Linked DNA regions of Oryzias latipes. Each later gene encodes a partner of the first gene's protein in a complex. Links are inferred from orthologs where the notes say so. Each region holds a gene or a part of one and is shown on either strand. Other genes may lie near its edges. The genes, in order: nelfcd, nelfb and nelfa.

The links.
Region 2: the proteins of nelfcd (region 1) and nelfb are in contact, whole or in part, in a crystal structure (PDB 8JJ6), measured with the Homo sapiens proteins. The link is inferred for Oryzias latipes from reciprocal best matches to the Homo sapiens genes NELFCD and NELFB. Residues at the interface, in XP_047296144.1 of Homo sapiens: Arg63, Ile66, Met67, Glu68, Pro69, Ile71, Phe72, Leu75, Ile89, Gln90, Leu92, Ser93, Tyr96, Thr97, Ala98, Val99, Ala100, Gln101, Thr102, Val103, Asn104, Leu105, Leu106, Trp109, Leu110, Gln112, Thr113, Gly114, Val115, Gln121; in NP_056271.3 of Homo sapiens: Met49, Leu53, Leu56, Val58, Ala59, Asn60, Gly61, Leu64, Lys65, Leu68, Thr69, Leu75, Ile78, Glu79, Phe81, Gln82, Glu84, Asn85, Gly86, Val87, Leu88, Leu89, Ser91, Leu92, Ser94, Ala95, Leu96, Pro97, Phe98, Leu99.
Region 3: the proteins of nelfcd (region 1) and nelfa are in contact, whole or in part, in a crystal structure (PDB 5L3X), measured with the Homo sapiens proteins. The link is inferred for Oryzias latipes from reciprocal best matches to the Homo sapiens genes NELFCD and NELFA. Residues at the interface, in XP_047296144.1 of Homo sapiens: Cys204, Gln205, Gln206, Leu207, Glu208, Phe210, Ser211, Leu214, Arg215, Leu218, Ala219, Ile221, Leu222, Asp223, Gly225, Glu226, Cys241, His242, Gly243, Glu244, His245, Thr246, Tyr247, Leu248, Phe249, Ala252, Met253, Ser255, Val256, Leu257; in NP_005654.4 of Homo sapiens: Leu23, Trp24, Ala25, Leu54, Leu58, Leu61, His62, Arg65, Pro88, Trp89, Met92, Val93, Ile96, Leu97, Phe100, Gly104, Ser105, Leu106, Leu108, Leu110, Asn116, Val117, Asp119, Ile120, Leu121, Glu123, Leu124, Arg125, Lys127, Val128.

What each region holds. Positions count from the first base shown.
Region 1 is NC_019863.2:26,963,627-26,966,166, forward strand, and holds part of nelfcd (negative elongation factor C/D), read right to left. Parts: intron 2,534-2,540; coding exon 2,403-2,533; intron 1,334-2,402; coding exon 1,168-1,333; intron 1,096-1,167; coding exon 961-1,095; intron 792-960; coding exon 652-791; intron 1-651. UniProt on the Homo sapiens protein: Essential component of the NELF complex, a complex that negatively regulates the elongation of transcription by RNA polymerase II.
Region 2 is NC_019871.2:30,111,603-30,115,931, forward strand, and holds the start of nelfb (negative elongation factor B), read right to left. Parts: upstream 2,941-4,329; 5' UTR 2,781-2,940; coding exon 2,679-2,780; intron 1,984-2,678; coding exon 1,823-1,983; intron 1,745-1,822; coding exon 1,645-1,744; intron 634-1,644; coding exon 403-633; intron 1-402. UniProt on the Homo sapiens protein: Essential component of the NELF complex, a complex that negatively regulates the elongation of transcription by RNA polymerase II.
Region 3 is NC_019876.2:18,438,402-18,442,672, forward strand, and holds the start of nelfa (negative elongation factor A), read left to right. Parts: upstream 1-1,402; 5' UTR 1,403-1,653; coding exon 1,654-1,863; intron 1,864-2,115; exon of another isoform or gene 2,116-2,273; intron 2,274-3,156; coding exon 3,157-3,328; intron 3,329-4,271. Other genes in the region: c18h4orf48 (neuropeptide-like protein C4orf48 homolog), read right to left, coding at 422-510, 857-968. UniProt on the Homo sapiens protein: Essential component of the NELF complex, a complex that negatively regulates the elongation of transcription by RNA polymerase II.

The DNA.
Region 1 (2,540 bases):
TGCTGCCTTTAGCCAAAATCCAAAAACCTGTGTCGTTTTCTAGGACATAGTTTCTGCAGAGCAGCAGGAGTTTAGTAGAAATTCACATCTGTGTTGCAGATGGGATAGTTGGCGCGGGGCAACCCCGCCCCTTTTTCCCCTGACCCTTAACCGAGCTATCCGTTTACCAGTTCTGCCGCTAGCTTCCAGCCCCACACAACCCCAACCCAGCAAAAAGAAAAAAGCACTTTTTCAAACTGCATTTTTTCATCTGCTCCTGATTCACAACGATTTGAATAAAGAAATAATTAGAAATTCAAATTGGAGCTTAATTTTCTTAATGTATCATCAGAAAATGACCTGTTAAAAACCCCAAAAAACAGGATTTTTATCATGGTCGGTCTTCAAAGTAAATAACTGTTGTTTTATTTTGTGTGAAACAACAGAGTTGGAGATCTGAGAGCTTCAGCTAGCTCCTGATAACTTCAATAACATCATTTCCAATCAACAAATCAGCTCAATTTGTGCTGAACTGTGTCCCTTCTTCCTCTGTAGACGTGCACCTTTTTGGAGCTTCCAACTGAACATTCATGAGAACTAAAGTATTTGAAGCAGTTCTGTCTTTGAGCTCGTATTTTTTATATGTTTTACTGATTTGGATCCTCGTCTCACCGGATGCACTGGTACAAAGTGCCCAGCTCAGCCACCAGCTCTGTGGCTCCTTTGTTCTCGTTGCAGCACAGGTTGTGAACGGTCTCTATGGCTTTGGACGTGGACTTTAGCTCATCTTTGTTGATGTTGACCCGTTTGTTCTAGAATGGCAGGAAAATGTTAAAAGAACTTATCGAGGTGAATCAAAGCCATAAAAAACGCACATGAATTTTGCTTTTCATGAATAATCTACCAACAGCTGCCAACTATCCTGTAAAAAGTATCCTCTGCACCAAAAGCAGACGTAAATGATGTCAGCAAACTCTGTACCTTCTTCCACGTCTCCACCACACTGGCAGCATAAGCCAAGATGTGGATGTACTTGTGTTTGTGGTCCTGGTTGATTTTTGATCCGGGTTTAAAAAGCGATTGCATGAAAAGGTCTAAAAACGCCGGCACTCGGATCTAAAAACAAGAAGATCGTTTAAAATAACAGCATTTTATCGACACTACAAAAAAAGAAAAGTGATTCTTTACCAGTTCAACAGGAGGAGGGTCCATGCTGCTGAACATCTTAAAAAGAACTGTGATGTCAGCAGGATTCAGGGCTCCTTTGGACAGCATGGCACCTAAAGCTTGGCAGGCTCGAGGGTAGGCGGCTGCGGTTCCAAGTGCCAGGGTGATCTGGCTGGCATCGTGGCCTCTGCCATTAAAAACAAGAGACAAGAGTTCACATCCTGTTGGTCCAGATAGCATGTCGGGGAGTAAAACCTTAAACGGTGCATCTTTTTGAACGCATTCATCAATTTCTAGCTGCAAAATCAAAATAATTTTCCTCCCTCGAACCATGTTATAAAATTCACTTCTGAGCGGCACCTAAAGATGTCTCTAACAGTATAAGGCTTAAAGCAGGGGTCTGCAACCTTTAACTCCTCTAATGGGGTTCAGCAAGTGTCACAACTAAAACTTTGACAGACTTTTGCAAAAGGACCTGGCTGCAGACATCAACAGCCAGAAGACAAATGTCCGCTGATAAAACTTTCTTTTAACTGGCGACCCAAATAGTTATGTTTTTTTTTCTCAGTTTAAGCTTTAATAAAATGTTTTATTTTACAATTCTGAACACTTTTGGGTTTGGGAAAGTCCGCCTCCAGGCGTTTGTGTCCGGCGCCATTTCGTCCAGAGCCAGGTCGCAAATTTTCAGCACAGAATAAGTCTACCACAGAAAATGATTGAAAGTCGGTAAGAACAACCAGAACTGAGGAATATTTTCTATTTTTGAAGAAATTAAAGGATTTTAAGAGCACCATAGAGTTAAATATATATATATATATATATATATATTGGTCACTTAATTAGCGCTGATTTAATTTCACTTTGTTCGATTTACCGCAAACGGTAACATAAACTTTTTTTCTAAATCTCTGCTGGAATTACACTGCCCATTACTATATTTGCTGCCTTGACATGATCCTATGCGACACCTGGTATCTTTAATTTCAAAAGGAAGTCGCGCCAAAAATTATAAACCATTTCATAATCTGAAAAAAAGGCTATTTTCTCTTAATGATTATATCTTATTGAAGCCAAAAACAACAGTTTATTTATATTTACCATAACAGTAACAGCAACATAAATACAAATCTGTCTTATTTTCCTGAAAGTAAGACTTTATAGCTCCTAAAAAAATAAATAAATAAACCTTCCGGTCCGTTTTTTTAAGTGCTGCAGCCTGCAAACCCCTGGACTAAGCTCCATTGCTACGGGTGTACCTCTCGTGTGCAGCCCTTTGCACCTCTTGGCCGATCCTGCGAACAGCCGAACCGCCTTGTTCCTCCTGAGCGAGGATGGACATCATCGCCTGGGCAAAGAGGTAAGTGTGCTCGCCATGACACACCATTTTCTGCAAA
Region 2 (4,329 bases), on another chromosome or scaffold:
GAATGTCTGTCATTATTTCTCCGCGGCAGTGTAGACGCTACTTGCCGTCTGTCTTCTTTGCTGGTATGTGTGCTCAGAAAGGCAGTTTTGTGTTTGAGCGCCCCCAGGTTGTGTTTTACTGTAACTTCAGAAGCCCCAGACACGTGTGCAAAAGCGCCATTCTCATCTGTCGTCGCGTCAGACCAAAAAAACGAACCCGAGGCGCTTTTAAAAAAATGACGCTTTTACGCCTGGCGTTTTTTCGCGTCGGTGTGCACACTCACATTGGTGCCCTTTGTTTAGTCACAAGGCGTTAAACGTCGGCGAATATCGCGCGCGAAATTCGTCCCGGTGTGTACGGGCCTTTAAGGTGCATGTCTACTGTGAGAGACATCATCCGAAAAAAAAACAATAATCCCTCACCTCGCCTTGGCGTCGTGTTTTGGGAGAAGGGCTGAAGAAATTGTGCAGAATGGAGAGGTCACTGCTGAAGAGAGCTGCTTCTTTCTCCACGATGTACTGCTTTAGAAGGGGGGAGACCTCGTCCCCAAAAAGAGCCTGGTTGTCCTGCCAAATCTGCCTTTTGACCTCCACCGCACACACCTTGTACAGCTCTTTGTCCGCCATAACCAGCTTCAGTTTCTTTTCTGGCACCTACAGCAGAAAAAAACAATAATTAGCTAAAGCTTTTTTTGCCTTTTGCTAAAACATTTGGTTTTCCAAAGATATCAAATTAGATGAAGGAAACAAAGAAATTCCCTGGGAACCATGGAAATGGAAGACTTCAACTGAATGCACACAAGACAAGGATCAAGAATCAGGGTGCACCTTTTTAAAAGGACCTATATCATGAGAGATCAACTTTTTGAGCTTTTAAGTGTAATATAATGTTAATTCCTCACAAAAAAAAAAACCCCAACTTAGTATTTTGATCCATTCACACATTTCTGAGGATTCCTCTAAAAACACACTCTCTGAGCACCAGCCCCTCCAAACCCACGAAAACAAGTGGGTTCTGGCATTCATAGAATAAGTGAGGAACAGCCCCTTCCAGGAAGAGTCGGTGCTGCCAGCCCCCCCTCGGCTAACACACACACTCTCTCCTTGGAGCTAGCAATGTTTGGCAAAAACTGCTTCATTTTAAATGCACAATGTGCACATCCATCTTTGAAAAAGTTTGAATGTTGTTTATTTTCGTGGATGAAACTCAGACACACTGCCGACGCCAAATCTAGGCGGACGTCATGAAATGGGCGGCACCCACAAGGAGCAAAAGGCGGAGCCTCAGAGATCGAGTCCTCTCTCTTCCGGGTAGGAAAAGGAGCGGTGAAAATGACTAATATTTCATAAATGTTTGTTCTTTCATGGGCCAAAGGTAATATATTTTCATATATATGGAAATAGTTCACTTGAAAGGCTTTAGAATAGCATTAGATGGGCCCTTTTAAAGAGACTATTTTGTAATGCATGCATCATAGCAAACTATATCCAGTATTATCTGCATAGTTTAAAATATTGAGACAAATGTAGCTGTAAATGCTCCAGAATAAAAACAGAAAACTTACATTTATGAAGCTTTTCTATAATTAGTGTCCATGTATCCAATTTGTTTCGATAAGAAAATAATAGATATATTTATATTCCTCTTGTAGCATAATATTTTACCTTTGGCAGATGCTTCAGCACCTGCATCACCACCGGCTGAATGGACGGCATTTTCACAAGCGGAAAGCTCTTCTCCAGCAATTCCTCCAGCTTTCCATACCTGAAAAAAGGTACAACAACACTTCAGCATCCATTTACCTCGCTTCTACCAAAAAGCTAGTTTCTTTTGAAAACGTACCGATCTTCCTCCTTGCCATCTGCAATAACAGCAACTCGCTCCATCAACTTGTCACGGAGCTCGTCAAAGACAGACTGATGGAACTCTAACCGCGGAGTGCCGTGGAGGTCCAGGAAAGGAAGAGCAGACTGGAGTGTTGGCAACAGAATCCCATTTTCCATCTGTGATGACATGAGACATCAACAACTGGTGAGGGATTGTTGTAACCACCAAAAGAAATGCAAATGAACAATAATCTGGCCTCAATCGGTCAAAAGATTTTAATTTTATTTGGAGAAAACCCAAACCTAACTTGATAGCTTTGCACCAGCAGTGCTTGAAATGCACTTCTATGTCCTCCATCATGAGAAAAATGCTACAAGAACACGTTAAAAACACCCAAAACTCATTGGAGCCGCCACCAGTGTGTGAATGTGTGAGTGAATGTGTGAGTGAATGTGTGTGTGACTGGGTGAATGGGTCTGTGACTGTAAAGCGCTTTGTCCTTGTAGGAAGAAAGGCGCTATATAAGTATACGCCATTTACTTAAGGGCCAAATTTCAGATTTTTTAGTTTTTCTGATCAAAACCACACTCGCTTTTTTTTAATAGAATAAATATTTGTCTAATTTAGATTTAGAAAAAGGTTTTTCTCCAGACAGACATTTTCATAATTTTATTTTTGGTCTTCAAATATGAAACTCAGTCATTTTAGTTCTATATTTTGCTCTGAAGAAATGAAAACTTATCTAATCACAAAAAATGTTTAAAATGCAGAACAATGCAAGCTAACATAATGTGCAGTCGTCCCGCCAAGATAGAGAACCCGTCTATTCTCTATCTTGTGCTATTATTTTTTCGTTGTTGTTGTTGTTTACCTGAAACTGGTCGATGGCTTTCAGCGGCTCCGTACAGTTGGTGAGTGTTTCCTTCAGATCATCCCCGTTTGAAATGCCGAGCTCAGACAGCCCCGCGAACATTCTTATAATTTAATCAATACGAACCCCACAAATTCAATTTGTGCTAAAAACAGGTTCGTCTATTTTGGCTAAGTTGCAACAGTTTTGTTGGTGCCAAATTAAACGCACAGCTAAAGTCTGAACGGTTGTCTACGAATGTTGTAGCGCTGTAACAGGGCCGCCGGAAACACGGAACCTTATGAAACGTTCCGCTCTTTGTTTCCCGCTGTGGCTGCATTCACACGTACACCATGTTCAAGTAAAATTAAAAGAAACAAAGGCAATAATTCTTTTAGTTTGGCATTATAAGTCAATGTTTTATTTATTTTGATTACATATTACTTAGTTTTATTACTTTATATTGTTTTCAACTGCTGCTTAGACTTTGTTCTAGTTTTCTATTTGTAAAATGCCATGGTGCTTCATATTTTTGGATTTGAATGTTTCAAATGGAAAAAATGAGTAATTTTGAATTTTGTTAGCAAACAAACAAACAAAAAAGAATGTACACCATATTCCAGGGGTGTCTCGAATTTTTGCAAAGAGGGTTAAATTTGGTGTGCTTAAAAATGTAATGCGGGCATTTGGCCTGCCTTCTTTGAAACATTATAACGTTAAATAGAAATGAACTGTGTGATTTTTTATTTTTTTTTTGCAATTAAATACTTTTCATTTCCTCAAATGGACCAGAGCTTTATCTAAATACATTAGCCTTCACTCATCCGCAGATATAGTTTTGCAGAAATTTTTACGCCGGATGCTCTTCCTGACACAACCCTGTATTTTAACTGGGCTGTGGGCCGCCACAGGGCAGGGTGACCGAGATATTGGCCCCCTTGTAGCTATATAGGAAGGCAGTAGCGTCAAGTGTCTTACCTAAGTGAAAAACTGTTTTTATAGTCTATGCTAAGGACCCACACTGGATGAAGCTCATTGCGCCCCCTGGTTTCCCATGTCCCAGTCCTGTCCTCAGGGCTTTAACTAACCAAGCAAGAAAAAATAATTAAAAAATGTTTTTTTTTCTGCTGCTTCTCGCCTTGGTGGAAACACATTAATTGGGTTCTAAAGATGCTCTACCATTTGGTTGAGTAGGCAGTTACCTGAGCTTTAAATGCTCACTGTAAACTTCTAAATTTAAATCATGTGAAAAGGGGAAAAAACACAAATAGTTATCTTATTCAGAACTACAAACCACTGTGATTTTGATCACCGACACCAATAAATCCACTCCTCTTATTCGGCGCATGAGGCTCTAAAGGTCAAGTTGCTACAGGTTGTTGCCACAGGTTTAAAACGGCTAATAACGTAATTTAGCAAATCAAATTCAAGAAATTGTACTTCTTAGAAAGTGCTGAAGGTCTAATGATTTTATGGCAGGACCATGAAGGCGGGTGGAAATTTGAAAGTGGGCCACATTTGGCAGACTTTGGACACGCCTGCCATGTACCAAGGATACAGTGATTTACATGGTAAAATTTTGGTGTAAAAAAAATATTGGTCAAACTATATCAGTGGGACGGCCGTGGTGCAGCGGTAGGGCGGTCGACCCATGATCGCATATGTGCAGGTT
Region 3 (4,271 bases), on another chromosome or scaffold:
AAGTAGCGTCTACACTGCCGCGAAGAAATAATGACGGACATTCTTAAATATCCCAGAACGAAGCACCAGTTGGAGCTACTGGTGCTTGAAATATTCATGTTTTCTTTTTATTATTCTGACTAGCGCGTAAATACTTGCTCTCTTCTTCTGAGGGAAAAGCGACTTTAAGAAGCCTAAAGTTGCGCAGCGCCACCTTGTGTACAGGAGTATTTCTGTTTACATTAAGCGCCATCTAATGTCAGGGAATGAAATTGCATGTTCGCTCGGCTCATCGTCAGCGAAAATCGCCTGGGTGTGAACACAAAAAACGTGGCGAAAAATGCTGGCGAATAACGCCTGGCGAATATTAGTCCCGGTGTGTACGGGCCTTAAGACTATGGATTTAGTACTCAAAGCTCTAGAAATCTGGGGAGTCACAGACCCTGGCATCCAGGTTGAAAGCTGTCTTCTTTAGATCCTGAAGCGCTCTCTGCATGAACTCAAAGGCATGACAGTCCACACACGGGCGACCTGAAAGCACAACAGCTAAGAAATAACACACAGCAGGGAGGTCGGACCCCCCATCCCCCCAAAAACACTGATCTTTTTAGGCTTTAGGCACACACACACACACACACACACACACACACACACACACACACACACCCCCACACACACACACCCACACACACACACGTATATATATGTATGTATGTATGTATGTATGTATGTATGTACACACACACAATAGAGGCCTGTGTGGTCCCATTGGGGGATGAAACCCATATATAAGCAAACATAATGTTTTCATTGACAGATTACCGATTCCATCTCAAGTAATAAAAAGAAAGAACCCCCATAGGCTAATGTTACCTACTTTCGGCTGGGATAACGGTCCCCGTCTCCTGATCTGCATCGGCGGTACCGAGGCAAAAGAGCTGCACGGCCAGAAGAACCAAGGCTGCTTGCGCATAGCCACGGGAAGCCATTGATGACGCCGTCGGGTCCCTGAATCAAGATAGGCAAGAAACATTTTTTTAAATAAAAAATCTACAAGGCCGTCCGGAAACTAATTAGCAAAATATGTAATGGTTAGGTTGTTAATTCCCCCCCCCCCCCCCCCCACCCCATCTTAACAGGCACGTTTTTACAAGTCACCTAAAGATTATTATTACCTCAGTGTTATTTACCTGCAGTCAACCAGCTACTGGTGTTTGGAAATCACAGTGAGGACAAACGAGCGCTGGTTGAGGAACATTCACCAAGTGCGCATGCGTCTGGCCAGGCTAAAATTTGCTATGCTTTGGTAATGAAACCGGAATTTCCCTCAAGCTTTTCAGAATAAACGACACATATTTAGTTTTTTTTTTTTTTTATTTGTCCACACCAAGAAACGTATAACCAGTAAAGAAGCAAATAGACTTGTTTTGTGTTAATAAAAAGGGAAACATGAGACTTTTTTAATGTAAACATTTTATACAGTGTATGGGTACATTGGAAATGACAGAAAAGAAGGCGGAGATGCCAATTTTATAGAAAAATATTTAATGTGGTGATCATTAGTTATCAACATAGCTGTTACACGTAACCACCCACTTGTGGGCGGGGTCCTACGAGCTGTTTTCTTAGGTAGCCTGCTAAAATGCCCGAACTCAAAACACTTCTTTTTCCAAGATGGCGTCGATGAAGGACAGCGACACTGGCCTGTGGCTTCACAACAAACTAGGATCAACAGACGAGCTGTGGACACCTCCGAGTATTGCTTCCCTGCTCACAGTGTCAGTAATCGACAATATACGGCTATGCTTTTCCAGTCTGTCGCCGCCGGTAAAGCTAAAACTGCTCCTGGGGATGCTGCATCTTCCCCGGCGGACCGTTGACGAGGTGGGTTGCTGCTGCTAGAGGTTAGCTTGAAAAGTCTCTGCTATTATTCACACAGGTAGGGTTGTAGTTTAGTTCACAACTAGTTGCAGAAAAAAATCTCGCAGGTACTCAGAGAGCATCTCAGAGACATGTCAAAAGAAAAACACATAACATAAAGAAATTTGGATGTAGTAGCTAATTATGGCTAACTCAGTAACTACTAAAAAGAAACCGCAGGTTCGTTCAGTACATTGATCTTCGGTGAGTTTTTACCTTCGCTTCAAGTCAGCAGTGGTCTAAAATTGAATTGGGGTCGGGAGAAGCTGCTCCATAGCTAAAGTTTTGAACGCCACACTAACTTCGGCTCCCCAGCGGCAGTGGGTAGCATTTGCCTGGTGGCGGGCGTTCAGACATTGTGGTGGGACGGACGCTGCTGGAGCGTTAGCTGGGTCGGAGGGCGGAACCAACACTGAGTCCGACATATCACCTGCTCTGCTATGCTGCTCTGCTGCTCATGCTGCTGCCGCCCGTCAGGACCTCTCAGTCTCACCGGAGCCAAACTCTGACTTAGCTTCAGTGATGGGGAATCCAGTAAAGGCAATTGGTGCTTTTATGTAATAATTTTCGTATCCAAGTCATCGCTTTACTTACGACCTAGAATAAAAACCTAATTAGTTGTCGTTTTTTTGTTTTATTTTATTTATTTTTAGAAGACATACATTTTTGTACCTTCCTAAAAAAGTACGTACGGTGCAGAAAAATATTTTGTTCTCGATTGTATATTTTTATCTTAGCGGAAGGGATACAAACTCAAATTCTTTGCAGAATTATCATTTTTTTTGAAAATTCCAACATGTATTTCATTTTATCTGCTCGTCAACCTTGTAAAGTTTTAATTGTTCAAGAACAATAAACTAAGCTAAACAAGAAGAGGGCGGGGTTACTCTGCACCAGCAGACCCGCCCACAATTTAGAAGTGAATTTCTCCTGGCACTCTTCAGACAATTACAGTTTTTTAAATATGTACTAAAAGCGGTATAATCGTAATCAAAAGACCACTTGGAATCCTTTTAAATTAAGTCAAAAGATGATTGGACTTGGACTGAAATTACTGAAGTAAACACCGGAAAACATGACTGACTTTATGTCAAATATCTTTTGAAAAATATTATTTTTATCCCTACTAAGTCGTCTTGATTGAATATGGAGGGTGTGGTCTTTTGATGTGTTGTCTGATGGGGGGGAAAAAATCTTTATAATTATATCTTTTGAGAAATTTGATAATCAAATGTCATTCTTCTGTGTTTTGCCCAGATGAAGGAGGCCTTGTCTGAGATCATCCAGCTGGCTACGGTGGATTCAGAGCCATGGGTGTTGATGGTTGCAGATATTCTAAAATCCTTCCCAGAGACGGGATCTCTCAATCTGGATTTAGAGGAGCAGAATCCAAATGTGCAGGATATTTTAGGAGAGCTCAGGGAGAAAGGTTGGTAAAATCTGCCATCCTGACTTTTATTGGGATGCTGGAGTCTTTAACCTTGTTTACATGTTTGCAAACATTTGAAATTCAAATACTACCAAGAAAGATTCCTCTGCGCTCTTATTATATTTTATATTTTATTTCTCTTTGTGTTTAAAAGCATACATTTGTTATATTTGATACATATGATACTGAGATATGTTGATCAAATTTATAACAGAACAGTTTGTTAGTTTGTTAGTTTAATCTTATAGTTTGTTTTGTTATTGCCCAAATTTAATGGGATTTCTGGTGTTTTATATATTATTTAAACAAAAAATATTTTTACATTATTATTAGTGTCAAGTTACATAGAAATAAACTTTGTCAGTTATTTATTTGTGTCAGGTGTTATTAGGTTAAAATGTTGTTATAAAAATTAGAAACATATCCATGGTTGAAATGTAAAGACTCACTCTGATGAAAATTGTGTTTTTGCTGTTTTGAACTTGTTCTTGTGGCATTTATCTAGTGATGGAGGAAATATAAAGAAAATTCAACTTAAAATTCCATTTCTGAGTATTTCTTTAATGAAATTGTTTTGAATCAGGAGAAAACGAAAAAATGCTGGTGGGAAAAGATTGTATTTGTGATGTAAACAATACATTGGACGGGTCACAAGCTCCCTGCTTCACTCAGCAGCAGGAGAAGGGGATCCTGGCTAGGAACAACATAATCATAAATACAAGGCCACTATGAACTCTTTTAAAACGGATCAAAGATGATCAGAGTGGGTCCTGAAAGGTAAAAAGTAGGATCAAATTAGTTTGGAGCAAAGTATTTCAAAGAAATTCAATGTTTTTTTTTTTTTTTTTTTTTAAAAATCTTTTCCTATCATTAAGTTTTGAGTTTGCTGCCAAACATGAGGTGGAAGGTTTGAAACCCAGTTCACCATCTTCATGCATCAGCG